Oryctolagus cuniculus: one gene and its partners. The protein of the gene in region 3 interacts with the protein of the main gene of each other region in a pairwise test. Links are inferred from orthologs where the notes say so. Each region holds a gene or a part of one and is shown on either strand. Other genes may lie near its edges.

The links.
Region 1: the proteins of TRIM54 (region 3) and CDKN1A interact in binary tests that used the Homo sapiens proteins (3 or more experiments, as listed by UniProt). The two-hybrid records come from large-scale screens. The link is inferred for Oryctolagus cuniculus from reciprocal best matches to the Homo sapiens genes TRIM54 and CDKN1A.
Region 2: the proteins of TRIM54 (region 3) and TCEA2 interact in binary tests that used the Homo sapiens proteins (3 or more experiments, as listed by UniProt). The two-hybrid records come from large-scale screens. The link is inferred for Oryctolagus cuniculus from reciprocal best matches to the Homo sapiens genes TRIM54 and TCEA2.
Region 4: the proteins of TRIM54 (region 3) and TSHZ3 interact in binary tests that used the Homo sapiens proteins (3 or more experiments, as listed by UniProt). The two-hybrid records come from large-scale screens. The link is inferred for Oryctolagus cuniculus from reciprocal best matches to the Homo sapiens genes TRIM54 and TSHZ3.
Region 5: the proteins of TRIM54 (region 3) and KLHL38 interact in binary tests that used the Homo sapiens proteins (3 or more experiments, as listed by UniProt). The two-hybrid records come from large-scale screens. The link is inferred for Oryctolagus cuniculus from reciprocal best matches to the Homo sapiens genes TRIM54 and KLHL38.
Region 6: the proteins of TRIM54 (region 3) and IQUB interact in binary tests that used the Homo sapiens proteins (3 or more experiments, as listed by UniProt). The link is inferred for Oryctolagus cuniculus from reciprocal best matches to the Homo sapiens genes TRIM54 and IQUB.
Region 7: the proteins of TRIM54 (region 3) and SMARCE1 interact in binary tests that used the Homo sapiens proteins (3 or more experiments, as listed by UniProt). The two-hybrid records come from large-scale screens. The link is inferred for Oryctolagus cuniculus from reciprocal best matches to the Homo sapiens genes TRIM54 and SMARCE1.

The regions. Positions count from the first base shown.
Region 1 is NC_091436.1:132,894,402-132,896,884, forward strand, and holds part of CDKN1A (cyclin-dependent kinase inhibitor 1), read right to left. Parts: intron 1,591-2,483; 5' UTR 1,580-1,590; coding exon 1,135-1,579; intron 1-1,134. UniProt on the Homo sapiens protein: Plays an important role in controlling cell cycle progression and DNA damage-induced G2 arrest. Involved in p53/TP53 mediated inhibition of cellular proliferation in response to DNA damage.
Region 2 is NC_091442.1:143,228-147,481, forward strand, and holds the start of TCEA2 (transcription elongation factor A protein 2), read right to left. Parts: upstream 2,993-4,254; 5' UTR 2,865-2,992; coding exon 2,793-2,864; intron 1,397-2,792; coding exon 1,334-1,396; intron 1,129-1,333; coding exon 1,023-1,128; intron 431-1,022; coding exon 340-430; intron 1-339. UniProt on the Homo sapiens protein: Necessary for efficient RNA polymerase II transcription elongation past template-encoded arresting sites.
Region 3 is NC_091433.1:175,699,394-175,703,556, reverse strand, and holds the start of TRIM54 (tripartite motif-containing protein 54), read left to right. Parts: upstream 1-1,233; 5' UTR 1,234-1,689; coding exon 1,690-1,857; intron 1,858-4,163. UniProt on the Homo sapiens protein: May bind and stabilize microtubules during myotubes formation.
Region 4 is NC_091449.1:24,912,730-24,917,171, reverse strand, and holds the start of TSHZ3 (teashirt homolog 3), read right to left. Parts: upstream 2,925-4,442; 5' UTR 2,537-2,924; intron 1,842-2,536; exon of another isoform or gene 1,713-1,841; 5' UTR 1,054-1,712; coding exon 1,014-1,053; intron 1-1,013. UniProt on the Homo sapiens protein: Transcriptional regulator involved in developmental processes. Functions in association with APBB1, SET and HDAC factors as a transcriptional repressor, that inhibits the expression of CASP4.
Region 5 is NC_091437.1:149,374,257-149,378,695, reverse strand, and holds the start of KLHL38 (kelch-like protein 38), read left to right. Parts: upstream 1-1,467; 5' UTR 1,468-1,794; intron 1,795-1,934; exon of another isoform or gene 1,935-2,434; 5' UTR 2,435-2,435; coding exon 2,436-3,785; exon of another isoform or gene 3,786-4,439.
Region 6 is NC_091434.1:159,631,152-159,634,868, forward strand, and holds part of IQUB (IQ motif and ubiquitin-like domain-containing protein), read right to left. Parts: intron 1,830-3,717; coding exon 1,644-1,829; intron 1-1,643. UniProt on the Homo sapiens protein: Adapter protein that anchors the radial spoke 1 (RS1) complex to the A microtubule of outer doublet microtubules in axonemes. The triple radial spokes (RS1, RS2 and RS3) are required to modulate beating of the sperm flagellum.
Region 7 is NC_091448.1:21,904,288-21,908,686, forward strand, and holds the end of SMARCE1 (SWI/SNF-related matrix-associated actin-dependent regulator of chromatin subfamily E member 1), read left to right. Parts: intron 1-245; coding exon 246-456; intron 457-3,412; coding exon 3,413-3,621; 3' UTR 3,622-3,686; downstream 3,687-4,399. UniProt on the Homo sapiens protein: Involved in transcriptional activation and repression of select genes by chromatin remodeling (alteration of DNA-nucleosome topology).

The DNA of each region.
Region 1 (2,483 bases), on a different chromosome or scaffold from region 3:
CGCCCCTGCATAGAACTCTGCTGGTCAGCGCTGTGGGAGGCAGTCCACCAGTCCACAGAAAGTGTCCTGGCCCAGGTCCACAGGAGTCATCATTGTCATCACCATCAGTTCAGACCCAACTGAAAATGGCCCACAGGACGCTCGTCTGCACCCCTCAGCCTCAGCTGCCTCACCTACAAAACGAGGCGTGGGAGTGCGCCTCCAGCCCAGCAAGGAGGATGCCTGCCTCCCACACCAGGGTGCCTGGCTTCTATTCCGGCTCTCACTCCCGACTCCAGTTTCCTGCTAATGCCGACTCTGGAATTCCGGGCAGCCGCTGATGGCCCAAGAAATCGGTTTCCTGCGTTCCATGTGGGAGACCTGGATTGAATTCCCAGCTCCTGCCTGCAGCCCCAACCCAGGCTACTGAGGACATTTGGAGAGGGAACCAGCAGAAGGAAGCTTTCTTTGTGTCTCTTGAATGAATAAGTAATAAATTGCAAATGAGGCTTCTCCGTGGGAGTGCACTCTAAGGAGGAAATCAATGGTCTCTCTAAAGGCTTTGGTCCAGGGCCCGGCGTAATAGGTGACCAAATGCCAGCATCACTCATTCACCTTTCATGGAGCACCTGCTCCACCAGACACTGCTCTCCAGGCTGGGGACTCCACAATGAACAAGAGACGCCCAGATCCCTTTTTTGTGGGGCTGATATGCTAGTGGGAGAGACGGCCCGTGTCAAGGTCAGAAGGAACAGTGGATCCAGGGTAGAAAAATGCCGACGAGGACACGGCGGATAGGTGGGGGGAGGGAGGGACGCGTGTGTGATGAGGGGAGGGAATAAAGTTTGCAGAGGCCAGAATGGCGCTACGGCCAGTGTCCTCTCCCCAGCACACGCCCTGCGCGACCTCAGGCCAATCTCTCCCTCTCGGAGCCTCGTCTCCTTGGAAGGGGAGCAAGATTGTCTTCAGTCGCTCAGCAAGGACTGCCGGGTAATAAATACGCCCTGGACAAACGCTGGCTACAGCCCTGTGTGCAGCCTCACCTAGGCGGCTTCCCTTCTCGGGGACAAGCTGAAGCAAACAGGACAGGTCCCGCATGGGGGGGTTCCGAGGGCCCCAGTCCCCCCTAGCATCCCTCCCCACACCCGACCTCACCTGTCAGGCTGGTCTGCCGCCGCCGTTTCCGGCCCTGAGAGGTACCAGGCCCGCCTGGGGACTCCTCGGGCCGTTCCGGGGAGCGAGGTACCAGGGTGCAGGTCAGCGACAGGTCCACGTGGTCCTCCTGAGCCGCTGGCAGCAGGGCGGCTGAGGTGCTCGGCCGCTTGCACCCTGCCGGGTCCTCCCTGCCACCCCGGGGCCCCGGGGCCAGGTAGAGCTTGGGCAGACCCAGGCCCCGCACGCGCTCCCAGGCGAAGTTGCCCTCCAGCGGCGTCTCAGTGACAAAGTCGAAGTTCCAGCGTTCGCGGGCCTCCTGCAGGCAGTCGGCCATGAGTGCGTCGCAGTCTCGGCGCAGCTGCTCGCTGTCCACGGGCCCGAAGAGGCGGCGGCAAGCCTTGCTCCTGTGCGGGGGCTGTGGCGCCTCGTCCGACGGCTGCGACATGCTGCCTAGGGCTGGGACAGTGGAAGGGTGGCCTTGGTGAGGACGCTTCCCGGTTCCCAACAAGGACTTTCTACCGCACCCTGGCTGGGGCGGGGCATCCACCCCCACCCCCCAACAGACCCCAGGTGGGGGCAGAACTCAGCCAGCCAGGCACCCTGACGTCAATGGGGGCATGGGCAGCACGGGGCGAGCTTATGTCCACAGCATGACCTCACTGCAATGGCCTGGCCGGGAGCAGGGTCCTGTTTGCCATCAGCGTTATCAGCTAAAATCAATTTGTCCTCCCCTGAGGTGGCCCTCAGGGGTGTGAATTGCCAGAGTCCAGTAGTTTCCCAGTGATAGTCCTGGCCAGGAAGTCGGTTCCCAGAGGGAGGCGTAGGCAGGGGCTCCTCCAGCCTCCCAACACAACCTCCCCCATCATTCCTGCCTGGAAAAGTGAACCCCGGGCTTTGGAGTAAAAACACGCAGGCTGTCATCCCAGCCCCACGGCTTCCCACGTAGACGTTGCATGTCTCTGGGCCTCCGTTTCCTGGTCTATGGAAGCTGAGAGAGTGCCAGGGTGGGGGCAGGAGTCCCTCCAGGCAGGCCGAGCAGCAGCAGGTGTGACAGGGGCTGGGTTGGAGGGCAGGCTCCGCGGGGCGACCCCGACCAGTGGCTTAGCGTCTCTGCGCTCCCCTTTCCTCCTCTCTAGGAAGAGGCCGGTGACAGCAACAGTCTCAGAGGTGGGGGACATGCTTGGGCAGCACCTGGCCAAGGCGCTGAGAAGACCGTGGTGTTAGGACGCCTCTGTGCCTGCAGCTCTGGCTGGGCCTCCTCCCTGCCTCTCCCCCTCCAGACGGCAGCTGACAGGTGCCGTAGGCTGGGGGCCTTTCCCAAGGATGGCATCAGGTGGGTGGCCTCGGGG
Region 2 (4,254 bases), on a different chromosome or scaffold from region 3:
GCTTGTGACCCACGCCCAGCTGCCAACCACTACCGTCCACTCTGATCAAGAGCCAAGCAGCCTCTCACCAGGACACCTCTGGGCTGCCCGTGTGTGCCTGGGCCAGGCAGGACGGGGGCTGCCTCTGTCCAGGAGGAAGGGCCAGCGTCTACAGACACCAGGCAGAGCAGGCCAGTGAGCATCCAGGTCCAGGACAGGCCCCAGGGTAGGCAGGCAGGGGAAGACCCAGAGCAGCTCACTGACCGCAAGGCACACCCAGCCAGGTGGGACTGGGCTGACCAACGCTTCCCCTGACCACCGCCCAGGGTCACAGCGGCACCTGCTCCCCAGGTGCTCTACCTGGGATCCGTGGCCTCGGAGGCGGCCTTGGAGGACGAGGCAGGCAGAGGCGCACCCCTCCCCCGGTCCCTGGCTCTGGCATCTGAAGCGTCTGCAGTTTCCGGAGAAGAGGCAGTGAGTGAAGGGGACAGAGGACTCCAGCAAAGCAGAGCCCTGGCCACCGCCTTCGGCCACGGTCCCGGTCCCTGCCCCAGCCAGGAGGCCACCACCCCAATACCCTTTCTTGCCTAGGGGGGGTCTCTTTGGGTCCACCCTCCAGCACAGAGCAGGCTCCTCCTGAACCCCACGCCTTGGGAGGCCTGCACTGGGGACAGCCCACATGTGTGTCGCATGTGTCCATTGGCCACACAGGTCACGTGGCTGCCTCACAGAGGTAAGTGCCCAGGACAGCCTAGGAAGGCTCCCCCTCCCAGGGCCCAGAGGCATGGCTGCTTTCCTGTCCCAGTGGCACAGCCCACTCGTACCAGTGCCCCCACCCTGGGCCACCTCCTGCCCCCCTGGCCCTGGGCACCTCAGCTTTGCCCGGCCCAGCAGGTTCTGGGGGCCCCAGCCTCCTGCAGCACCTCCAAGGCAGGCCCCGGTCCAGTTCCAGCTCCAGGCAGCACTGTGCCTGACAAGCAGGAGGCCAGCACCCCCTGGGCACCCCTCCTCCAAGCACAGAGCCCTCACTGCCCGACCCACACCCAGCAGCTTCTTCCACGACTTGATGAGAGACTTGGCCAGCGCGATGACCTCTTCGTCTGAGCTCTGCTTTCTCAGGGCGTTGACCGACATCCCCACACGAGTGGCCTGTGAACAAGCCGCCTGGGTCGGGGGGTGGTGGGGAGCCCCCAGGGGGACTCTGACATCTCCCAGTAGAACCCACGAGGACAGGGTGGGATATCGAAACGTCTCATTGAGAGCCAGAGCCAGGAACAGGCCTGTGCCCATCAGTGTGCCCTTGGACACTGCTCTCCCAGGAGCTGCCCCAGGCCGGGGGCAGGCAAGGACCTACCTGGAGCAGGTGCAGTGTGACGGGCATGGCCTTGAGTTCCCTCAGCAGGTCTATGGCACCCTCCTGGAAGGAGAAAGGGGGGCTTCCTAGAGCTCAGTGGACAATCCCACCTCTTCCTGCCCATAGGCCATGCCTCAGTGCCTCCACCTGGAGACACCAGGGCTCCGCCCACCAGCCGGTGCACCCAGGATAAGGAGCCAAGTGGCTCTGCAGGCTCTGTCCCTATGGTCCCGTGACCTTCCGTCCAGCATCCACGCAACAACCTCACCGTAGCCATGTGGGGTCACTGAACAAACCACAGGAGCACAGACGCCAAGGGCCATGGCCAGGTAGGGGAGGGCTCAGGCTGTCACACACAGGGGCATCTCCCCTCGGGCACCGCTCCTCCAGGCTCCCCAGGTCCAGGACCCTGATGGGTGTGGGCCCCACCTCCCTGCAATGCCTTGTGCCCAGCCAAGCCTCTGTTCCTTAAAGGTGGGACTCGGGGGGGCCAGCTCCCCCGCCCCCACTGCTCCCTGCGGGCGCCATCCCTTCAGTGCGGTGTGTGTCTCTCCGACCAGAAGGGCGGGGGTGACCACGCAGATCCCTCTCCCAGGCAGGCCCCGCTCCTGCGCTGTGCCGAGTTCGGATCTCCCAGGGCCGCGTTCCCACCGGCACTGCACACGGGGAAGCTGGCTCTCCCAGGTCTCCGGACCCCAAAAGGGGCTCTCAGCTCTCAGGTGCTGGCCTCCCTCCCTGTCCTCCCAGGGAGCGAGTCCTGCCCAGCCGCTCCCCTCCCTGTTAGTCTCCCCCAGCCAGTCTAGCGCCCCTACTTTGCTGCAGGCCTGGGGGGGTGAGAAAACAATGGGGTGGGGGTGCTGCTTCCAGGATGACTGACAGTCGGGCCCGTTCCTGGAGAACCCCATCCACAAGAACCCGCCCCACCCCCACGCGGTCCCGGAGCCCATGACTCAGCCGTCTGGGGCCGCCCCGGGAGCTCGCAGCCCCGGGGACAGCACAGGTCCCGTGCACGGAGCCGGTCCGCGGGATGCTCGCCCCCTCCCCACCGCGGCGGTGCTGGGCGGTCGCCAGGGGTGCTGCGGGGAGTGAGGCCGTTCCAGGACCGGCCCGGCCGTGGGGTCCGGTCGAGGCGGCGGCATTTGCCGCAGGCGCCGGGCCCCTAGGGGCGAGGACTCGGCCCCGCAGCCCGTGAGTGGGGGCGAGGGCCGGGGGCGGGCCCAGCGTGCGGCGGGGGCTCCTGGGCCGGGGGTCGGGCCGGGCCTCGGGTCTGCGGGGCGCAGGGGGAGGGCGGGGCGGCCCGGGCGGGGGTCCCTGCCCCGGGCACGGGGGTCTCCCGGCGTCCCAGGGGTCTCTGCCGGGGCTCTCGTCCTTCCCCGTGGGGGCTCCCGGGCCTGACGCGGGGCGGCGGCCTCGGCGGGGTCTCGACGGGGCGGGGGTACCAGCGGCCCGCGCCCCTCACCGCGCTCTTCTTGGTCACCATCTTGTCCAGCCTGCGGGCGATCCGCGCGATCTCCTCCTCCTTGCCCGTCATCGCCTCGGGGCAGCGCCCCCGCGCCCGCCTCAGACCGACCCCGGCCGCCGCCTCCGCCGCCGCCGCCGCCGCGGGCCGACCCTCGGCTCAAACCCCCGGCCCCGCGGCCGCGCGCTGCACCCTGGGACGCGTAGTTCGCGCGCGCCCGCCCGGCCCCGCCCCCGCCGGCCCCGCCCCGCGCCCGAGTGTGCCGACCTCGCCCCCGCCGCAGGCCCCGTGGAGACCCCGACCCCGGCCCCGCCCCCGCACTCACGGCCCCGCCTGCTGGGAAGGGTCCTCTGGGAGCGGCGACCTCCTGCGGAGAATTCGGGCCCCGCAAACCGCCCTGAGCGAGGGCCGCGGGGCGGGGCGGGCTGGACGCGCCCCCTGGAGCCCCGCCCCCAGGAGCCCCGCCCCCCGAACGGCCCGGGCCCGTTAGGCCGCTCCGGGTCCCTTCACGGCCGGCTCCCCCTCCTCTGTCCTCGAGCATCCCCGACCCCGCCAACCCTGCCCCTCGGTCCGTGCGACCACGGCGCCGTCCCAGAACCCAGCCTGGGTCGTTAGGGCCTCTGCCCGGGGTTGGCTCCCGGAGCTGCCCGCCCACACTGGGGAGCCCCACAGCCGGCAGGAGGGTGGGTTCCTCTGGTCAGGCTGATGGGGAAGGGGTGCCAGAAGCTGACCCCTGTCCCTGTACCTGGCGGCTCCACGCCCCGACCCCTGACCTGTGCCTGGCAGGGCTGCTGTTGGGGTGAGGCAAGCTGACTCACTGACCCGGATAAGCGAGAGACTGGCTTTTGCCACAGCTGAAGTCCCCAGGAGGGGCCAGACCACACAACACAGAGGGTGGCCCAGGCCCAGGAGAGTTGAGGAGTGCCAAGGTGCGGGGCCAGGACCGGTGCCTGCCTGCCTCCTAGTGATGGGGTGCTGGCGGCTGCAGAGAGCGGGCCAGGGACTGCTGGGGGCAGCTGGGCACACCAGGCCTTAGGCGCTCAGCGGCACTGAAGGTGGCAGGTGCGGGACTCACCTTAACCACGAGGAAAAGCATGAATTCCTTGTGGCTGTTCCCAGGTTGTATGGTGGGCGGACACCACACCCCAGTCTCCCAGGCCAGCAGAAGCTGCCCTGCCCGTAGTCAGGGCGGGGGTGGGCGTCCAGCCACGTCAGGGCAGCAGGGAGGATGGAGCCACACATCCTTCAGCCACCCTGGACGGCTGATGAGTGACCACACCCAGGAGCTGGCTGGGTCTTGTGGGCCAGTACTGGGGCCGCCTCGGGACCCAGAAATCATGGCTTCAGAAATCGTCCAAGCCAGACCCTTGTCATCCAGGTGGTGCCAACCACGCAGGCTGCCCGGAGAGGCAGGCCTCAGGGAGAGGGGTGGGTTCCAGCTGACTCGAGGGCCCCTAGATGC
Region 3 (4,163 bases):
CTTCCTTTGTTGCCACTGTGGACCAAGAACTCCTACCATCAGCCTCCTTCCTAAGCCAAGACACCTTTCTGGGGCTGGTCTTCCTCCTCTGGTGGCCAGCTCAGCCCTGCCACCTCGAGTCAGCCCAGGAGAAGTGAGTGCTTATGCGGCTTGGGGCAGTTATCCCACCTGTGGACTGTCCCTGGACCCCAGCTGCCGGCACAGCCCCCGCCAGCCTGGCCCCCGGGGTTGGCCAAAGTTCTTGCTTCAGCATCTGCTCGCCCCCACCCTCTGGACTCGCCTTGTGCAGGCCGGTCGCCCTGCATTTTGTCCTTAAAACAGGACGGGAAACGTGACGAGGCGAAGGCTGTGCCTTGCAGACTCTTTCCCCGCTCTTCCTTCTTCGTCCTGCCTCTCCACACCACCCGTTCTCCGCCCACTCAGGGTCAGAGCCTAGGAACTCCTCTAACTTCACCCTTGTCTGGGAGAAAGGTGAAGGAATGTTAGTAAATAAAAGAACTTTTGACAATCCCAGTGCGTGTGTTGGGCCCAAAGAAGACAGATGGTGCCAGCGACAGAGGAAGAAGGCCGTAGGAGAAAAAGCGAGAAAGCCACGTGCGGCGAGCCTGGTTCGCAGGGCAGGAGTCTGGGACACGTGTCGGGCCGGGCAGACGCTGCCCATGCTCTGCGGCTGTGGCTTTCTCGGTGCTCTGAAGTTTCCCTGGAGACTGACTGCCTGGTGCTCAAAATAGGTCTCTGGCTCTCAGGTCCTTTCCGCCTGCCCAGCATCTCCCAGTTTCCTAACAAACTGAAATTCCGTGGAGTGGCCCCAGCAGTGGGTGGGCGGGCCAGAATCCCACTCTCTCAGGACTGCAGCAGCCACTTGCAGCCTCCTGAGCTTCTTTCCCTAGAGTGAAGAAATGGCTGGGCAAGCACAAAACTGGGCCAGACGTGTTGGACGAGAGGCTGTCTCCCTAGTGTCCGGTGCCCTGTTCTGAACCACTTGGTCTTGGGGAGCAGGAGACTGTCATTGACCCTCTCCGAAGGTCTGGCCAGATCTCTCCTCCCACCCTGAGCCATGAACCATGCTGCCCCTCATACAGGCCGCTTTAGTCTGTGTCACTGTTCTGGACCCCAAGCCAGAGCACGGGGCCAGGGGCTCCCAGGAGCCTCTGGATGACTGCTGGCCCACCTTTCACCGTCAGGAGTGACGCTCACCCTGCCCTTGCTAGAGGGAGCCGCCCATCCCTGTGTGAGTCAGGGTCACTCACTGGGTGACAGCTGGGGCTCGCCTTACACGAGCTAAATCGGGAGCTGGAATGTCATGCAGATGCCCCTCTCTCCCCACCCCCACAGTAAAATTAATCTCCTCTCTGGGGAGTAAGGGACAGACAGTGCTGCCCACAGAGTGGACAGGAGAGAGTCGTTTGGGGGACAAAAGAGAATTTAGAGAAGGGGAGAGAGAGGCCGGGCAGGGTGCAGGGCAAAGAGCAGAGAGACCGAGAAGCGTCTGGAACCCGCGCCCTACGGACGGACGAGGCAAGTTGTGAGAGGAAGGGACAGGAGCTGTAGCAGAGCTATTTCCAGAGCGAGCAGCCGAAGGGAACAGAGCGTCTACAGACTGCTTAAGGGGCGCGAGGAAGGGTCCCGAGGCAGCGGGAGAAGGCCAGGACCAGGGCCGCGGCCAGGGCAGGCACGATCGCTGAAGGGATGAACTTCACGGTGGGTTTCAAGCCTCTGCTAGGGGATGCGCACAGCATGGACAACCTCGAGAAGCAGCTCATCTGCCCCATCTGCCTGGAGATGTTCTCCAAGCCGGTGGTGATCCTGCCCTGCCAACACAACCTGTGCCGCAAGTGCGCCAACGACGTCTTCCAGGTGGGCTTGGCGTGGAGACCCGGAAGGGGGTGGGCGGGGGGCTCCGGGAGGCGGGCAGTAGCTGTTGTGGCTGAAGAGGGGAGGAGCCGGGCTCCTTCCTGTGGATCCCAAGGTAAGCATGAGTCAGCAGCCGCCCAGCAGGCTGGCGGGTACAGCCTGTACTGGGGCAGCAGCCGGGAGGCCGGCTCCTACCCCCGGGGGCTCCGTGAGAGCCTGCGCTCGACTCTGCATTTCAGTCTGGGGCTTCGGACTTTGAGAACAGTGTGGAAAACCGGGAGAAGGAAAGGGTCAGTGAGAGAAGGAAAGAGTAACCCCCATGAGAAAGCACCGTCCTCACACAGAGTGGTTTGTTCTGAAGGCGAAGCCCAGCGAAATGAGACATGGCAGGTAGGAGACTAGGAACCGTCCCATCCCCAGCGTCAGTTCATGCCTGTGGCCCTCCGAACTGCTCAGCACGGAGGCCTCCCCTGGCTCGTACAGAGAGAAGGCGGAGAGGTTGTGTTCCCCAGCGTACACCCCAGCGTACAGCCAGGTTTTATTTACCGTGGTGGTGGAGCAAAGCATAGTGAAGCAAACTCACAGAAGCCATTTTAGTCGCAGGCTTCAAAAATACAAGGAGCACGTGCCAGGCTGGTCTATAAAGGGGCTTTCTTTTCTCCTTTTTTTTTTTTTTTTTTTTTTAAGATTTATTTGTTTATTTCAAAGGCAGAGTTACAGAGAGGCAGAGAGAGAGAGAGAGAGAGAGGTCTTCCATCTGCTGGTTCACTCCCCAAATGGCCACAATGCCTAGAGCTGGGCTGATCCAAAGCTAGAAGCCAGAAGCCAGGAGCCAGGAGCTTCTTCTGGATCTCCCACACTGATGCAGGGGTCCAAGGACTTGGGCCATCTTCTACTGCTTTCCCAGGCCATAGCAGAGCTGGATCGGAAGTGGAGCAGCCGGGACTAGAACCAGTGCCCATAGGGGATGCTGGCACTGCAGGCAGCAGCTTTACCCACTATGCCACAGCACTGGCCCTTATAGAGATGCTTTCTTGACCTATGCTGTTGGGGAAGGTTCTAGTAGGCTATTGGAACAGATCTCAGGGAACATAAGGGGGAAAACACCCAGAAATCTGCCCTTGCAAATGATGTAAAAACCCGGAGTAGACTTGAGCTGGATGGCTTAGCATGCGTGTCAGTGACATGGAGACCATGAACAAGTGTTCTTCATCTGCATCACAGGTTTGGAGAGAATGTATTGAACACAGGTTTTTTGTTTTTGTTTTTGTTTTTTAAGATTCGTTGTATTTGTTTGAAAGGCAGAGGGAGAGATAGATCTTCCATCTTCTGGTTCATTCCTCAAATGGCTGCAACAGTTGGATTTGGGCCAGGCCAAAGCTGGGAGCCAGAAGCTTCATCTGGGTCGCCCCCATGGGTGCTGGGACCCAAGAACTTGGGCCATCTTCCTCTGCTTGCTTAGGTACATTAGGAAGGAGCTGGATCAGAAGTAGAGCAGCTGGGAATTGAACTGGTGCCCATGTGGGATGCCAGCGTTGCAGGCAGTGGCTTAACCCACTACACCACAAAGCCAGCCCCAAACATGGGTGATTTTTAACTTAATCAAGAAAATGCTTGGCTTCTTAGGTTGCTTAGGGCAGCATGTTTGGGGGGAAAGAATGGGCCAAGCCAGGCCATCCCATGCTGTGCCTTTGACCCCCCTACTGTGTGTCTGTCCTGTGCCCTCTTTATGTGTGCCCAGCACCCCCAAGTCTCTCCTGCCATCTCCCCATTGAGGCCACTCCCACCTCCTATCCTTCTAAGTATCCAAACCAGCCATCATTGGCCCGAGAGTCTCACAGCCAGTAGCTTTACCCAGATCAGGGTTCCGGACCAAATGCTGTGCCTGCTCAAGTCCTGTGTGAGAAGCCACACCTTGCCTGCCACCTGGGTTTCTCCCTTGGACTAAGGAACTCCCTGAACACCTATCAGGCGAGATCTCTAGGAGGAGATGGCAGGGAGATTTGCCATCACTTCTCATGGGTTTGTAGTGAAGCAGCCTCTTACTAGTACCTAAAATACATAAAAGCAAAAAGGCTGGGAGGCACAGACAATGCAGCCTGTCGAATAGTGGTCATAGCATCCTTCGGCAGAGGGACCCAGGCCTGGGCGCCACACGTGGAGGCCAGCAGAGATTTGAGTCACCTCCTGGCTCAAGTCAGCCTTCCGCGTCCAGGCACTTGCTTGGGTTCCAGCAAGCTCTAGGATACTGGTTTGGGATGGCTCAAGTCAAACCCTGTGCAGACCATTTGGGAGTTGGGATGAGTCTG
Region 4 (4,442 bases), on a different chromosome or scaffold from region 3:
CCAAGTTGCACTGACAGGGCCATCCTGACGTCACAGAGCCCGGCCTCACTATTGCAAGTGATTTATTGATGTTTATTGGGAATGAATAGATCAAAGGCAGCAGCATGACGGGCGATCAATCAGTCATCAAATCAAGGGTGGCAACGGGCCAGAAACCCTTCTTCCAGGCAGCATGGCCCCAACCGACATTATTGCAAAATAATGTTGTGTGTGTGAGAGAGAGAGACGGTTCTGTTTTGTTCTCAGCGATGCCTTTGCCAGAAAAGGAAAGAATAATAATAACGATGATAAGAAGAAGAAAATCGTCCCATTTTTAACGGGAGTTGACACTCCTGGCAAAAAATAAAATAATAAAATAAAGTGGGGGGGTGGGGTGGGGAGAAGTAGTGTCGCGTCCCAGAAGTAAGTGTAGCAGGAGGAGACGCGGGTGGGAGCCGCGGTGCCCGCAGCGAGGGGGCCCGGCGGAGGGAGTGCCCGCGCGGGGCGCCGGCCTGACAGGCAGCTGACAATACCCAGACCCCGCGCGCTCCGCTCTCCACCGCCGTGCCCGGCGTGGGCCCGACAAACGCAGGGTCGATCAGAGCGGCAGGGAGGCGGCCAAGGGTCCGGCTCCCTCGCCCCGCACGCTCCGGGCAGTGCCCCGCCGGCTGGCCGCGGGAGGACACTGACGGTGTCCCGGGGAACTCAGGCGACCCCGCCCGCCCCCATCCCACCCCACCCCACCCCCGCCCCGCAACAGACACACACACACCAGGGGCTCCCCTCCCGTCCGCTCGGCCCGGCCCGGCCCGGCCCGGCCCGCGCGCGCTTCCCCAAGTGGGTGCGAGCGGGACGCGGGGCAGAGCGCTCGGCGGGGCGTCCGGGGGGCGCGCGCACCCACGGCGCGGAGCGGCCAGAGAGTCGGGCGCCCGGAGTTAGTGGGCGCCCGCACCCGCCCGGGAGACGCGGCTGGCGGCCGGGGCGCGCGGAGGAAGAGGAGGCGGAGAGCGGGAGGAAGGGGAAGCGGCTCGTACCTGCTGCGCGCCGGGGCGCCTGCTGCTTCCTCCTCGGCATGATGCTGCTCCGGCGACTGCCACCGCCGCCGCCGCCGCCGCCGGGCTGAGCGCGCGAGGGAGGGGCGGCGGGCCCGCGCGGGGGGGGCGAGGCGGGCCTGCTCGCTGCTCCCCCCGGAGAGCGGCCGCCAGCAGGCTGCTGCTGCGCCCCGGCTCTCCGCGTCCCCCCCGCGCCGCGCTCCGCCGCGCTCCCCGAACGTGCGGAGGGAAGAAGGAGGGCGGGCGAGGGAGGAGCGCGGGGGAGGGGGCGGGAGGAGGAGGAGGAGGAGGAGGAGGAGGACCGCGCTGCCGGCGGAATGGGAAGTTTGACAAATCGCTCCGGAGGCCGGAGGAGGAGGGGGCGGGGAGCCGCGGCGGCCCTGCCCCCCCACCCCCCGCCCCGTCCCCAGACGAGGTGCGCCGGGTTCGGGGCTGGGGGGCGGGGAGACGCGGCGGAGGCGGGCGGAGGGGCGGGAGGAGGAGCGCGGGAGCGGCCCCGGCCGGTCCGGCCCCGGCCCCCCGCCCCCGGGCAGGGGGTCACGGCCTCGGGAGGGGGGGCGCGCCGCCGCCGCCGCCGCCGCCGCTGCCGCCGCCGCCGCCACCACCACCGCGGCCCGGGGCTCGGCGGTCCAGTCTTCTGCCCGCGGCGCGGCTGGAGCGGCGGCGTCGGCAACAGGCAAGCTTAAAGGAAAAGGAGATGATCGTGTCACTCGGCCGCCCGCGGGGGCGCCGCGCCCCCGCCCCGGGCCCCCCCAACCCCCGGCGCCCGGGACCCCCGCCCAGGCCGGGCAGAGGGGCGCCGCCCCTCCGCCTCAGCCCCGGAGCGAGCCACGCAGGGGCGAGGCGCCGGCCCCGCCGAGCCCGTCCCGGGGCGGTCGCGGCCCCTTGCCCGCGCCGCCGCCTCCCCGGCCGGCCTCGCCCCCCACCCCCGGGCCGCCCCCGGCCGCCCCGCTCTCGGCCCGCGCCGTCCCGCGGCCCCGGAGGATGCCCTGTGGCCCTCGAGGGAGGAGGCGTGCGGGCCGCCCTCAGGCCCCGCGCCTCCCGGGGCTCCTCCCCCGGGACCCGCCGCCGCCCCTTGCCCAAGCCCCCCTTCGGCGGCGGACAAACTTTCCCGGGCGCGTCCCGGGGGGCCGGCGTGGGAGGGGGCGACTCCCAAGTTTCCTCAGCTGACTTCGGGACGGTCACGGCCCCGCCGGCCCGCCCCTCGCCCTCGCCCCCGGGGCGCCCCGCCGCGCAGCCCGATCCCGGGGCGGGACGGGGGCGGGAGAAGAAACTCGAACTCGCGCGCCCATCCCCCGCCTCGCCTCCCCGGGGCGCCCCCGAGTGGGGGGCCCGCCACGCCGCCGCGCGCCTGGCCTGCGGGCGGGAGTGCGCGCGGGGGGATTGATTATTGATCGGGTGATCGGGGTCGCCGAGGCTCCGGGCGGGTGCGGCCGGCGGGCCGCGGGGGAGGAGGAGCTGGCGGGGCCGCGCCGGTGGCGGCCGAGCGACGCGGGCGCACTTACTGGCGGCGGCGAGGGCGCGGGTGGGCCGGGGCTCAAGGGGGCGACCCCCGGGCGGCGGTGGCGGCGGCGGCGGGGGAGCAGGAGCCGGAGCCCGAGCGGCGCGGGCGGCGGCGCATCGATGCGCTGCGGGCTCGATTGCGTCTCCCTGGGCCGGCTCTCGGGCCGGGAATGGGGCGGCCGCGGCGGGGCCGGCTCCGGGCGCTGCCGGGCGGCGGTGGCGGGGCCTCCGGGGCCCACGGTCCCTGAGGCGGCGCTGCGCCGGGGCGCGCAGGCTGGGTCCCCGGAGCTGCCGCGGGCCCTGAGGCCCGCAGCCGCTGCGAGGGCCGGCGCCCCGCGCCCCGGGACTGGCTGCCCCAGCGCTCCCGGAGCTTCGAGCCGTGGCCGCCTCCTTCCTTCCTTCCTCTTTTTTTTTTCTTTCTATTCCTTTTTTTTTTTTTTTTTTTTGGTTCCTCTCCCCCCTCTTCCTCTGCCCTGTCTCCTTTTTATTTTCTCTCTGTGATTGTTTCTGCAAGTTTGTTTAAAAGTTCACCGCATGCTTTCTTCTCTCGTAGACCGGGAGCCCGCGGTCTACTCTGACGGTAAGATCCCAGCTCCCCGCTGCGCACCGCCCGGCCCCGATGCCCCCGGGACGCAGAGGCGCCGCCGCTGTCCTCCGGCCATGCGGTGGCTGCGGGCCCCGGCACGCGGGAGCGCTCCGAGTTGGCGGCTGCGGGCCCCGGGCGGGGCCGGGAGGCGGGGTGCTGCGGGGCTCCGGGCCTGGGGCGGGGGGCTTCCCGCGCCGGGCGCCTGCGGCCCGAAAGGCGGCCCCGTGGGCGACAGGCGCTGCCCGCGAGCGAGGACACGGGTGAGTTGGCCGACGCCGCTGCGGCGGCCCGACTGTCGGCTGCGGGAGGTGGGCACCGCGCGGGTCGGCGGCCCCGGGCCCCGGCCCATCCTCCCGGGCGCACGGGAGGTAGTGTGCGCGCCGCGCTGCACGCCAGGGAGTTCTCTCCGGCCCAGCTCCCCTCCTCCTGCCCTTCCCCTCGCCGCTAGGCCCACCTCGGCTCCCGCGCCCCCTCCCGCCGCGGGCCGCGGCCTGAGCTTGGGGCTCCGCGTTGGCCGCCGCCGCCGCCGCCCTAGGACTGCTTGGCCCTCCCCCGCCCAGGCGCCGCGCGCGGTGCGATCCGCCCCAACATCTGTCCGTCCAGCCATTGGCACATCCATCAGTGTCACCGGGCTGCACATTGCGGCGACAGCCCGTCACGCACCACACGGGCTATGCGGCGTGCACACCGCGGCCCGCGCTGCCCCGCTGGGACACGCCGGCGGGGTTCCTGCCCGGCGCGGCACGGCCGGGGTCTCTGGTCTCCCCGGTGTTGTTTCAGCCGCACGCGCCTCCCCCCTCCTCCCCGTGTCCGGGCCGGCACAACGTGAGTGGTTGGCGGTGCGCATCCAGCCCTCTCCTATTTCGCCAGGTGTCCTCTGCCCTCTCCATAAGGGCTGGGTGTGGTTAGCAGCGAATGGAGGGAGGCTTCCCAAATGGGCACCGAGTACTGCATAGACGCGGGAGCTCCCTGAAGGCTGGGGCTGCCGCGCATTGCACCTGGGCCAGGGCTGGGGCGCCGAGGTCGCCGCCCGTGTTGGCCAGGGGCCCGCACCCTGAAACTTTGCCGGCCGCCGCCTGGCTGCTGTGCTCCAGGCCTGCCAGAGAGGAGCCTGGGAGGGGGGCGGAAACAAGGACCCTGTGAGAACTAAGGGTGCGATTGCGGGAGCAGTGGCGTCCGGGCGGCAGTTGGGCTGCCACTCACTCGTTAGGGGGATAAGGCAGGAGAAGTCCGTGCTTTGCGCAGAGCCCGGCCCGCTTCTCCAAGATGCTGACCTCGCCATGGTTGCGGGTTCCTTCCCGCAAAGCTTCTGCCCAGTCTGG
Region 5 (4,439 bases), on a different chromosome or scaffold from region 3:
AAAAAAAAAAAAAAAGGCAAAGGGAAAGGCACAAGGAGAGGCTAAAGGTAGAACAGGTGTCCAGTGCTTCCAGGACCTCGGCCGCTGGCCTGTGTCATCAGCACCAGCCCTGACACCAGCACCACAGCCCCCCATCTCCTGCTCCTCGCTTGCACCTCCATGGGGCTCCTTGGCTCAGGCCTGCAGCTCCTAATTCTGCCCTCCAGGCCCCAAGCCCCAGGGAGAGATTTCGGATACACTTCCCGGACCTGACTTTCTGAAGTCTCTGGGGACATGATCCACCCCTATGGCCTGCAGCTGTTGGGGAGAGCGATCCTAAAGGCCAGCCCAGCCCAGCCCAGCCTCCCGAGCAAGGACCAGAGGCAAACACGCATCTGCCAGTTGTCTCACGGAGCCAGAATAAAGATATGTGAGTGGAAGACCACATGTTCTGGGCTCCTGCAGGCCAGGGGTGCCCTCCAAGGGCACAATATGGTGGACTAGAAAACGCTGAGCTGCCTTGCCACTGGTTACTGCACTGGTGAGACAGGTAGCTGTAGTGGAGGGAGAGAGACTCGCAGCATGGACCATGCTGCAATGGTCTGAACAGGACTTAGGCAGGAGTCAGGCTTCCCTGCCACTCATGGCTGGAGAAATCATGGCCCACCCTGGAGGCAGCAGCAGGACAGACCCCCAGCGATCATGGCCCACCCTGAAGGCAGGAGCAGGACAGACCCCGAGTCCCCTTACTCTTCCTCGTGGGTCTCAAGCCCTCCATTGTGGCTCTGATTCTTAGAACTAGAGGCTGCCTCTCCTACCCCATCGCCAATGTTTTCTCACCAGCCCCTTCCTCTGCTTTCTCTTCTCTCCCTCTCTCCATCTCCCCCTCTCCTTTTCCTCCACCTCCTCCTCCTCCTCCTCTTCTCTTTCTCTCTGGAGCAACATGTCTTGCAGAAGCCAGCCTGTTGTAAGAAAACAGACAAGTCAAACAGGAAAGGAAGACGGTTTGAAAAACTGGCTGGAGAGCAATCAGCAGGTACTGGGGAGAGGCAGGTGTAACAGAGGAACACAGCCACCTTAACACAGACGCTCCCAGGTTAAGCAGGCCCAAGAAAGGCCTTTCACCAAAAAAAAAAAAAAAAAAAGCATTTAAACACAACATCTGTCACAATTCCGTCACCTTGGAGTCTGTCCATGATCCTACTAGGCAGCTGGTGGCAAACAGAGATCCACGGAGCAGCACCCGTGGGCCAGTGATCTGCCTTCCCTGGGACCACTGCCACCCTCTGCAGGGCTCAGCACCACGTCCAGTGGCTGCCTCCCCGCAGGGCACAGCAATCTGTTTACAGACATCTAGAATTCCCAGGCACTTTCAGGACAAGGGACTCAGGGAGGTTCCAAGTGGGCAGCAGGGCCTGCTCTGAGAGAGGCCGTTGCTCCTGGTCTATTTATGCCGATGTAAACACTCGCCAAGGAAACAAGGCGTGTGGGCATGCGCCGGCCCTGCAGGTCCCGGAGCTACTGCAAAAGGCAACTGGGAAGTCACATGTCGTAACAGTGGAAAGTACATACGCAACTATTCTTAGCCCTGGAATGTATACACTGTCTGCCTGCCCAGCGGCCCTCGCACAGACCTCCAGAAAACTGTGAAAGTGCCCTCAGCATAAACAATCCAGAAGTCTCCCAGGACAGATCAGGTGCCACAGAAGCCGAGGTCTGGGGGTTTGTGCTTTCGCCTGGCGCTCGAGGTGAAAACTCTCAGGGGAAACGAGGCAGACCCGGCGGCCACGGTGGATGTCACTCCACCGACACAAGGTAAACACCCCTGGTGTCCAGCTCTCTGCAGGTTGCACTGCCAGAGCGCAGTGAGAGAGCCAGGGTCTCCTGGCCAGTCTTTTGCTTTTAAGTTCTTCTGTTTTGAAGACAAAACCCCCCAAAGACTCTATGAAGTCAAGTTTGTGAATATCTCAATTTATTGCTCAGGTCCCCTTTTATCCCTCATTTCACTGAGCAGAGGGCCACACCCCCAGCATGTCATCCTCGGGGAGTGACTAACACGCAGAAAGAGGCTTTCTGATAGGTTTGCTAACCAGCAGACATGCTGGGGACCTGTGCAAAGGCTCACACGCTCCCGCTGCACGAAGCCACAGCTGCTGCCTTGCTTCCGCTGACAGCCAACTAACTTCCAACAGCTTGCAGGTTCCGGTCCCACCCCCACCTTGGATTAGCTGAAGATACCCTAACAATCTCCCCCACCAAATAAAAAGGTGTCCAATTTGAGGTCTGGGGTGTGGGCAGCCTCCCTTTTTAATCTTCACAATGTGCCATCCAGGTGGTACCTGCTGGCATCCTGATAGATGGACACAGGTGCACTGGGTCTTGGAGGCCCCAGCCCATGTCGCCGAGAGGGACTTCACTCGGGCTCCCTCTTGGGGTTTCTGCCCCCTCTCTGTAGGATGGACGAGGAGTCTCCAGACGGGCTGCTCTTCAAAGACCCTGACTTCTCCTCCGACTTGTTGAGGCAACTCGATGGCTTCCGACAAAACGGGATCCTGACGGACGTGAGCATCTGTGCCGGGGCCCAGGAGGTCCTCTGCCACCGAAATGTGCTGGCCTCCAGCAGCCCCTACTTTAGGGCCATGTTCTGCAGCCACTTCCGGGAGAGCAGTGAGGCCAAGGTTCAGCTGAAAGGCATCGACTGGCCGACCCTGGAACAGATCATAGCGTATGTGTACACCGGGCAGGTGCACATCGCGGCTGAGAACGTCCTGCCCTTGATGGAGGCGGCCTCGATGCTACAGTACCCCAAGCTGTTTGAGGCCTGCTCCTCGTACCTGCAGAGCCAGCTGGCCCCTGGCAACTGCCTGGGCATGATCAGACTCTCGGAGATCCTGAGCTGCGAGACCCTCAAGAAGAGAGCCAGGGAGGTGGCCTTGACCTCGTTCCCGGAGGTGGCCAAGTCGGCTGACCTGAAGGAGCTCTGTGCCCTGGAGTTGAGAGACTACCTTGGAGATGATGGGCTCTGCGGGGAGGAGGAAAAGGTGTTTGAGGCCCTCATGGTCTGGATCAAACACGACCTGCAGAACCGGAAACGCTACATACAGGAGCTGTTCGCGCAGGTCCGGCTTCAGTACGTGCACCCAGCCTTCTTCCACCACTTCATCGCCAACGACGACCTCCTGCAGTCCTCGCCCGCGTGCCAGACCATCCTGGAGACGGCCAAGACGCAGATGTTTTCTCTGCACGGCACCAGTGCTGCAGGCTGCAGAGCCCTGGGCCACGTGCCCCCTAGAAACTCTTACCAGGATTTCCTCATCCTCTTGGGTGGGAGGAAAGATAACCAGCAGACCACCAGGGACGTCCTGCTGTACGACAGCCAGACCCGCCAATGGCACAGCCTTGCGAAACTCCCCACCCGGCTGTACAAGCCCTCGGCTGTGGCCTTGCACCGCAGCGTCTATGTCCTCGGGGGCATGGCCGTCAGTGCAGGCAAGAGCGTGGTCAGTCACAACGTCTACGTCTTCTCCCTGAAACTCAATCAGTGGCGGCTGGCGGAGCCCATGCTGGTGGGCCGCTACTCCCACAGAAGCACCGCTCACAGGAACTTTATCTTCTGCATCGGGGGCATTGGAGACGGACAGGAGCTCCTGGGCTCCATGGAGAGGTACGACAGCCTCTGCAACGCCTGGGAGAGCATGGCTAGCATGCCGGTGGCGGTTCTGCACCCCGCCGTTGCTGTGAAAGACCAAAGACTCTACCTCTTCGGGGGAGAGGACATCATGCAGAACCCTGTGCGTCTCATCCAGGTAAATGGCCCTTCCCATGTCCAAGAGCATGAGTGTGTTTGCAATGCATACATGCACACACACGTGTGTGTATATATACATGTACCACATATATGCACACACATACCAATATACATGCCTACACAAGCATGCACATACTTATGCCAACATGCATGTGATGCACATACATGCATTGCACAACAGTTTTGTATGTGCAACACACATGCATACATACATGCATGCACACACACAAACACACTTGTCATTTACAGGGACAGGAAGGCCAGAGAGAAAAAAATTTTTTTCAATTTAAGAGTTCTTTTCCATAAGACTAATACATACAAAGTTATATCAAATCTAACCTCTATCCACCAAGAGTTTATCTTTATTTGAGAGGGGAAAAAAAACTTATGTACAAATCCAAACTAAAACCTATTGAATGTCACACAGTGAAGTCTTCTAGGAATTTGGCAAATGCCCCAACCCAAGTCCATGAAGTCTTAGAAGAAGATTCCCACATGTGGTGTATACCTGTTGTCAAATCCACTTTAACCTGACCTCAGATCCACGAAGTCAATAGTCTCTTGTCATTTATGACAGTTCACAGAAATGGGATTAACCATTTATTTTGCTGCAAAAAAAATTGCAAATCCATGCATCTAAGGAGTCTTCCAA
Region 6 (3,717 bases), on a different chromosome or scaffold from region 3:
AAATGTTTTTTGAGTTCGTCTGGTTGAGAACTTAGATCCATTTAAGACAGAAGTTCTGAAATTAGAAATGCATGTGAATAGAACATTTAATTTGATACTGAAGTAATTTGATTAAATACACAAAGGGAATTGTGTGGATTTAATTGGAACAGCACTGGAATGAACAGCACTTTGGGAATGAACTTCAATCTCAATGCGGGTCTTAGATGAAATGATATTGCCAGTATTGGCTTTGCTTTCAGTAATTAAATATTTATAAGGCAGCTTAGCTTACTAAATATAACATTTAACACAACTTCAAATTCTTGCTGCCCTTTCTTTCAATCTGTAGAGAGAATCAGTTCCTAGCCTGGCTTCTTAAAACCAAAAAACTACTGGAAAAAATAGCTAAAAATTTAATTCTTAGCTTTTTCTCTTCATATCTCCCAACACCTCCCTCACAGAAGAAAAAAACAGGCAAGGAATAGCACTAATAAAATGACTATTACATTTAATGTCATTTCTTTGTTTTCTCTTAGCTAACATCCTGCATAGAATTAAAGGTAAATCAATTTAATTAATAGAAGGGAGAGAATTAGTAACAGTTCTTGGAATCTTGGGCTGACTTAGTGTAAATGGAGCTAAGAACTCACTAAGGGCCCCTCAATTGTGTTCATAAAAGTGTTTTATAGCCTGCATCTTGTAAGTTACTGAAATTAAATGGTATTTAATTTTTTCAGTCCTTTCTCCACTCCTACTTAGTTGGACAAAAACAAAAAAGGCATTCTCATCAATATGGTTGCCAAATAGAATTCAAAATTATGAACCAGATTTACTTGAGAATTGAGTGTGCCTTTAGGCAAATTTGTGATGATTACGCCAAGAAGGAAAGATGTTGGGTTCTATAAAACCTACCTCACACTACTACTCACATATTTATTACAAAAATACTTACTAAACCCCTACACAGTGACTGGCACTACTGTAGTATTAAAAATATAGATGTAAATAAATTAAACAGAATCCCTATGGCTGGCACTGTGGCACAGCAGGTTAACACTCTGGCCTGAAGCGCCGGCATCCCATAAGGGCGCTGGTTTGAAACCTGGCTGCTCCACTTCTCATCCAGCTCTCTTTTATGCCCTGGGAGAACGGTGGAGGATGGTCCAAGTCCTTGGGGCCCTGCACCCATGTGGGAGACCCAGAAGAAGTTCCTGGCTCCTGGCTTCAGATCGGCACAGTTCCGGCAGTTGCAGCCAATTGGGGAGTGAACAAACAGATGGAAGACCTCTCTCTGCCTCTCCTTCTCTGTCTGTGTAACTTGGACTTTCAAATAAATAAATAAATCTTAAAAAAAAAAAAAAACACACAGAATCCCTGCCTTCATGGAAATTTCTATAGAATTAATTGTACTTGAACTTGCTATCAGGAGGGAGAGGGATCCTGAGAGGATCTTTACCTTTTATTTGTCTTAGTTCCCTTTTAATGTTAATCTCTGCCATGCATACCATTAACACATTTTGTTACTGTTTATCCATGAGTTCTGTTTCTTAATCACATGGAAATATTTCAATTATGCATGGAATGCAATTTAAAACAGTCAAATTAGCTCTAATCACCATATTGATTCAATTAAATTCTCATAAACAGTTTGCCTTTCTTACCTGTACAACACTACTTAGCTTGAGATGAGCGGCTGCTTCATCTTTGGTAAGAAGAATGCAGTTCCAGGGGGACCACTCCAAGGACTTATCCCATCTGACCATGACCAAATCATTGAGATCATCCCAATCACTAAGTACTGACTGCGATGCCCAAATGTTCTCTGTCAGGTACTGAATATCCTGTAGCTGCATGTCAAAATAAGTTTGAAAATATTAGTTTTCTTCCAGAAATACTTTTTTAAAATTACTATGTTAATTGAGGGAATATTTAAATTATATTGAATATGTTATTTTAAATTTTATTCAAAGTATTCAAATTTCATGTATTTCCTACATATAGATTCAGAAGCATAGTGAAATTTCCCACCCTGCCCTCTTTCCTGCCCATGCTCCCAGCCTTCTTCCTCCTCCCTCTCTTATTCACATTCTTATTTTTTACAATGATTTACGTTCAGTTAATTTTATGCTCATAACATTAACCCTAACTAAGTAAAGAGTTCAACAAATAGAATGAAGAGAAAAAAACACTTGTCTTCAGCAGCGGAGACAGGGGCTGTAAGCAATCATTAAATCTCAAAATGTTCATTTCACTCCAATAGATTACCTTTTAGATTCTCTATTAGTTATCACAGATCAGGGAGAACATATGGTATTTGTCTTTTTGGAACTGGCTTATTTCATCAAGTACAATGGTCTCCAGTTTCACCCATTTTATTGAAAATGACAGGATTTCTTTTTCTTTCTTATTTTTACTGCTGTGTAGTATGCCAAAGTGTATATATATATCATTATTTCTTTATCCAGTCTTCAGTTGATGGACATATGGGTTGAGTCCATATCTTAGCTATTGGGAATCAAGATGCAATAAACATGGGAGTACATATAACTCTTTCATATGCTGATTTCATTTCATTTGGGAATAGGATAGTTGGATCACATGGTAGGTCTATATCCAGATTTCTAAAGTATCACCATACTGTATTCCACAGTGACTGCACCAGTTTTACATTCTCACCAACAGTGGATTATGGTACCTTTTTCCCCACATCCTCACCAGCATTTGTCCTTTGTTGATTTCTGTAAGAGAGCCAGTCTACAACTGGGGTGAGGTTAAATCTCATTGAAGTTTTCATTTTCATTTCCCTGATGCCTAGTGATCCTGAGAATTTTTTTCATATATCTATTGGCCATCTGAATTTCCTTTCTTTAGAAATATCTCTTCAAGTCTTTGCCCTTTCTTTGTAGGATTGTTTTGTTTTTAGGTATCTTGGTCTCTTTATGGATTCTAGATGTTAAACCATTATCAGCTGTGCAGTTTGCAAATATTTTCTCCCATTGGGTCGGTTGCCTCTTCATTTGCTAAGTGTTTCTTTTGCAGTGCAATAGCTTCTCAGATTGATGTAGTCCCATTTGTCTCCTTTTGGCTTTGATGGCCTGTGCTTCTGGGTTCTTTCCACTGCCTACATCTTGCAGAGTTTCCCCAGTGTTCTCTACTGATCTGATGGTATCAGGTCATAGATTTAGGTCCTTGATCCATTTTGAGTGGATTTTCTTGTAAGTGTAAGGGAGGGGTCTTGTTTCATACTTCTGCACTTGTGAATTCAGTTTTCCCAGCAACATTTATTGAAGAGATGGTCCTTGCTCCAAGGATTGATTTTAGTTCTGTGGGGAGCAACTGGGAGCAACTCGGACTAGACTAAGTTACTGGAATTAAGACTTATTCTATGCATCTGCTCTCCCACAATATGGCACTGGGAGAGGAGGAAACAGCTTCTATACAGCTGCCTCCAGTTCAACCAATAAACTGTAGGACCTGCTCCTGATTGGAGGAGAGCAGCGTACTCGGCGTGTGGGTAGCAGAGTTGGGATTGGCGGAAGAGGACTATAAAGGAGGAGAGAGACAACATGCACCAGGAACATCTGAAGGAACACCTGAGCAGCCCCCGAAAGAGCCGGCTGGCGGTGTGCCGCTCCCCTGCGGAAGTGGGGAAAGTGGCAGGGGGCCCGCCCCTCCATGGAGGTGGAGGGACGGTAGCCAACCCGGGAGGAACCAGCAGCAAACCCGGGGAGGGCC
Region 7 (4,399 bases), on a different chromosome or scaffold from region 3:
AACCAACAATTGAAAAATCCCTCGTTCTCTCCCTCTGCCTCTCCTTCTAACACTATGCCTTTCATATAAATAAATAAAATTCTTAAAGTACATCAAAATTTATTTTTTAATTCTGTGTTTCTGAACTTTTTGAAATACCCACGTGTGATTGCGTAGGCAAGGAACACCCACTTTGAAATGATTTCTCTGGCTCAGAAATGATAAGGAAAGGGCATTACTAAAGTTCTCTCTTCTCTGACTGCTAGTTGTGCGGTTTGAAGGTAGAAGTGGATATGGAGAAGATCGCAGCTGAAATCGCACAGGCAGAGGAGCAGGCCCGCAAAAGGCAAGAGGAGAGGGAGAAGGAGGCAGCGGAGCAAGCGGAGCGCGCCCAGGGCAGCGGCATTCCCGAGGAGGAGCACGCAGCCAGCAAAGCCGAGGACAAGAAGGACGACGAGAGCATTCCAATGGAGACGGGTACGCTGCCAGCCGCACCACGAGGGTCAGGCCGCGGCCGGTCTTTCCTTCCAAACAGCCCCCAAGGTCACGTGGTTCGTCCCACGTTCTTGGTCTCTGGTGGCTGCACTTGGAAGGTTGGGGTCACTGAAGAATGGCAGTGGAGGGTTGTCTGCTGTGTGGGATCAGAGGCCTTGGGGGTCCCCAGTCTGGCTTGGGAATACAAAGTGGAATGGGAGAGCAGTTGAGGGCACCGGCTCTGGAATGAGATCAGGTCTGGGACTGCGTCCCTGCCGGCCAGCCCTGCAGCTTGGGTGAGTTACTCCACTGCGGCCTCCTCACTCGAAGCATCCTAGCAGCCGCCTGCAGAGATCTGCTCCTGGATCTGGTACAGAGCTAGCGTGCAGTATTTTAACCCTTAGTGCTAATACTGTTTAAGCAGTAGTTAGCACTTTTCAGAGTTACAGAGAGGCAGAAGCAGAGAAAGAGGTCTTCCATCTGCTGGTTCACCTCCCAGATGGCCTCAGCGGCCGGAGCTGGGCCTATCAGGAGCCAGGAGCTTCTTCTGGGTCTCCCATGCAGGTGCAAGGGCCCAAGGACTTGGGCCATCTTCTACTGCTTTCCCAGGCCATAGCAGAGAGCTAGATCGGAAGAGGAGCAGCCAGCTGGGGCCAGTGCTGTGGTGTAGAAGGTAAAGCTACTACCTGCAGTGCCGGCATCTTGGTTGGAAGAAGCTCCTGGCTCCTGGCTTCTGATTGGCACAGCTCCGGCCATTTGTGGCCAATTGGGGGTGCATCAGCAGATGGAAGGCCCCCCCCCTGTAACTCTGACTTTCAAATAAATAAATAAATCTTTAAAAAAAAAAAAGCAGAGCAGCCAGGACTCAAACCGGCACCCATATGGATGCCAGCACTGCAGGCGATGGATGTACCAGCTACGCCACAGTGCCAGCCCCCACAGTTACCACTCTTAAGACTGTCTTTGCTGTGTAGGACCACCTTCAGCAGAGTAGACCCTGCAGACCAGATCCTGCCTGCCCCCTGGTTTTCACCAATGGGTCTTTACTGGACACAGCCGTCCCATTGTCCCCATGTCGTCTGCGGCTGTGTGGCGGCGGCAGAGCACTGAGTTGCAGCAGAGCCTCCCTGGGCCACAAAGCTGGACACAGCCACCAGGTAGCCATCGCCAGAAGGTGACAGGCCCCAGCCTAGAAAAGTTTACTTCAGGGGCACTGATTGTCCTGGTAACAAATCTCGGGGGGTAACAAATAACATGGCCATCTTTGGTAAATTAGTCCGGCTTACATGGATTATTACTTCAAGTGTTGCGATTACCTCCCTTGTTGGCACTGCTTTGACCCTGCCTAGTGCCCCCTGTACACAGGCCTGAGCGGAAGGAAGGCATGGGAAACAGCCAGGAGTTCCCTGCACGGTCTTTGCAGGCGGAGGCTCTGCAGCCGTACTTTGCATTAAGCTGACAGACGCCTGGGAAACACTTAATGGAACATAGATTTTTTTGAAAAAAAAAAATTTATTTATTTGAAAGGCAGAAATACAGAGAGAGAAGGAGAGAGAGATCTTCATCTGCTGGTTCACTCCCTAAATGTCCAGGACTATGCCAGGCTCAAACCAGGAACCAGGAGCTTCCTCCAGGTCGCCCACGTGGGTGCAGGGGCCCAGGTGCATTAGCATGGGAGCCGGATCAGAAGTGGAGCAGCCGGGACTTGAACCTGGGCCGCGTTGCAGGCTTGGGCTTACCTGCCTTCTGCACCACGGCACCAGCCCAGAATGTGGATCTCCAGGAGGTGTTTCTGAAAAGCTTGATTCACCAGATTAATGCTTGGGAGGGCTTTAAATGTTTATTTTTATTTATTTGAAGGGCAGAGAGAGATTTCTTCCTTTGATTTACTCCCAGATGCCCACAACAGCCAGGTCTGGGCCAGACCGAAGCCGGGGGCCAGGGTTCTGTCTGCATTTTGCGCACTAGGGCAGGGGCCCAGGTGCTCTTCGGGGGCCTGGTCTGCTGCCCACGGGTTGCACATTAGCAGGAGGTGGGAAGGGAAGCAGTGGCAGGGCTTGGTCCCGGCCCAGCTCCTGCCCAGTCGGGCCGTCCAAGCGGGCAGCTCCTGTTTGCCCTCCTTTCTGTTCCGTGCGAGCACCTTCAGCTCGGCACGTCGGGAGCATGAGCATTTTGTTGTGGTTAAAGCGAGAGTTTGAGAGTGAGGGTAAGGTTCTCTGCTCATGTTCCAGCTAGATAGGGCGCCCGGCCCCTGCCTGTTTGGTCATCTGTCAGTGAGCCGTGTCAAAACGCCTAGGGCTTCACTTGGGTTCTGGCTGTCTAGCTTCGAAGGAAAACTGAGGAAAATTATCAGGGACCGTTAGAGCAGAAACCTCGTGCTGTTGAACGTCTTGCAGAAGACAGCCCAGGACTTCTGTCTCGTGTCCGAGATTCCAGCCTCATTCTTCCCACGTCGGCTTGCTCCGCATTTAATCCAAAGCCCGCTCTGTCCAGCGGAAATACAATGGGAGTTACATACGTACTTAAAGTTTTCTACTAGTGACGTTTTTAAAAGTCAAGTCAGATGAAAGTATCTTTAACAGATAATTATGTATGTGTATTTTCTAAATAATACCATTCAATATGTAATCAACATTTTAAACAAAATTAACCTTTTTTACTTTTCTTGTATTCTAAGTCTTTGAAATCCTGTGTGTATTTTACACTTAGAGCACAGCTCAGTTCAGCAGCTTAATTTTCGTCAGAAGTAAGTTAATCTGTATTCACGTAGCAGAAATTTCTGGTTAGAGAGTGGCTTTCCACGCCCAGGATCATTCTGCACATGCTAGAAATTCCTCCGTAGCCCTGGCTCATCTCAGGTGCCTGTTACCTGCCCTCCTGGGCAGCACAGCCGCGTGCTGTCAGCGTGATGAGGGCCCATGTGTGTCTGGAACTGACGGTGACACATGTGTGATTACAGAGGAGACGCACCTGGAAGAAACGACAGAGAGCCAGCAGAATGGCGAAGAAGGCACGTCCACTCCCGAGGACAAGGAGAGTGGGCAGGAGGGGGTCGACAGTCTGGCCGAGGAAGGAACCAGTGACAGTAACACCGGTTCGGAGAGCAACAGTGCCACGGTGGAGGAGCCGCCGACAGACCCCATACCGGAAGATGAGAAAAAAGAATAGATGTTGCCTTGTTTTATGTGTTCTAAATACTTTTTTAAATGAAAAAAAATGTTTTTTGGTTTTAATGGTGTTATGTGGTTTGTGTATTTTTTTCCTTGTCCATATCACACCACCAAAGGCTTTTTGGACCATTTAGCATCACGAGCCTAACGGCAGTCACCTTCCTTAGACGTTGAACATGGCTCTTTTCTTTGGATCTTGTTTCTAGCCCTCAGCTACGGAAAGCCTCAGAATTTAGGTTAACTGAGAAAGCATTCGCCTCCTTTAGAAAATCATCCTTTGATGCTGCAGAGTCTACTCTACAAATGCCTTCCTACAGCTCACTTGGGTGCTTCCCTAAGCCATAGCTTTAACCCTCTCGGTCCTGGCAGCAGCCTCCCGAAAGTCCCCTCTCGTGTACTTCTGCAGAGAGCAGCTTCTTGATGCGATCATGGGTCCGTGTGTATTTGTTCTCACCCTTTTTATATTTAATCAACGTCCGACTCCAGGTGTGTGTGAAGGAGTGGCGTGCAGCCTGCAGCTGACTGCACGTGGGTCGTGTTGATCCCGGGCAGCTCCCAGGGTTGGAGTAGCTCCCAGCTCCTGAAGTAGTCGTTGCAGTGGACACGGCACACACGCTGTCTTTTTTTATATAATTGATATTGGATATGTTCTGGTAAACTTATCCTTATTGTATAGGGGGAAAATTACCTTTTTTTTTTTAACCAGGTTTTCCAAAGACACAGTAGATCACAGAGCTTAATGGGTTGAGTGTATGTATTCTTGTTGTGGACTAAAT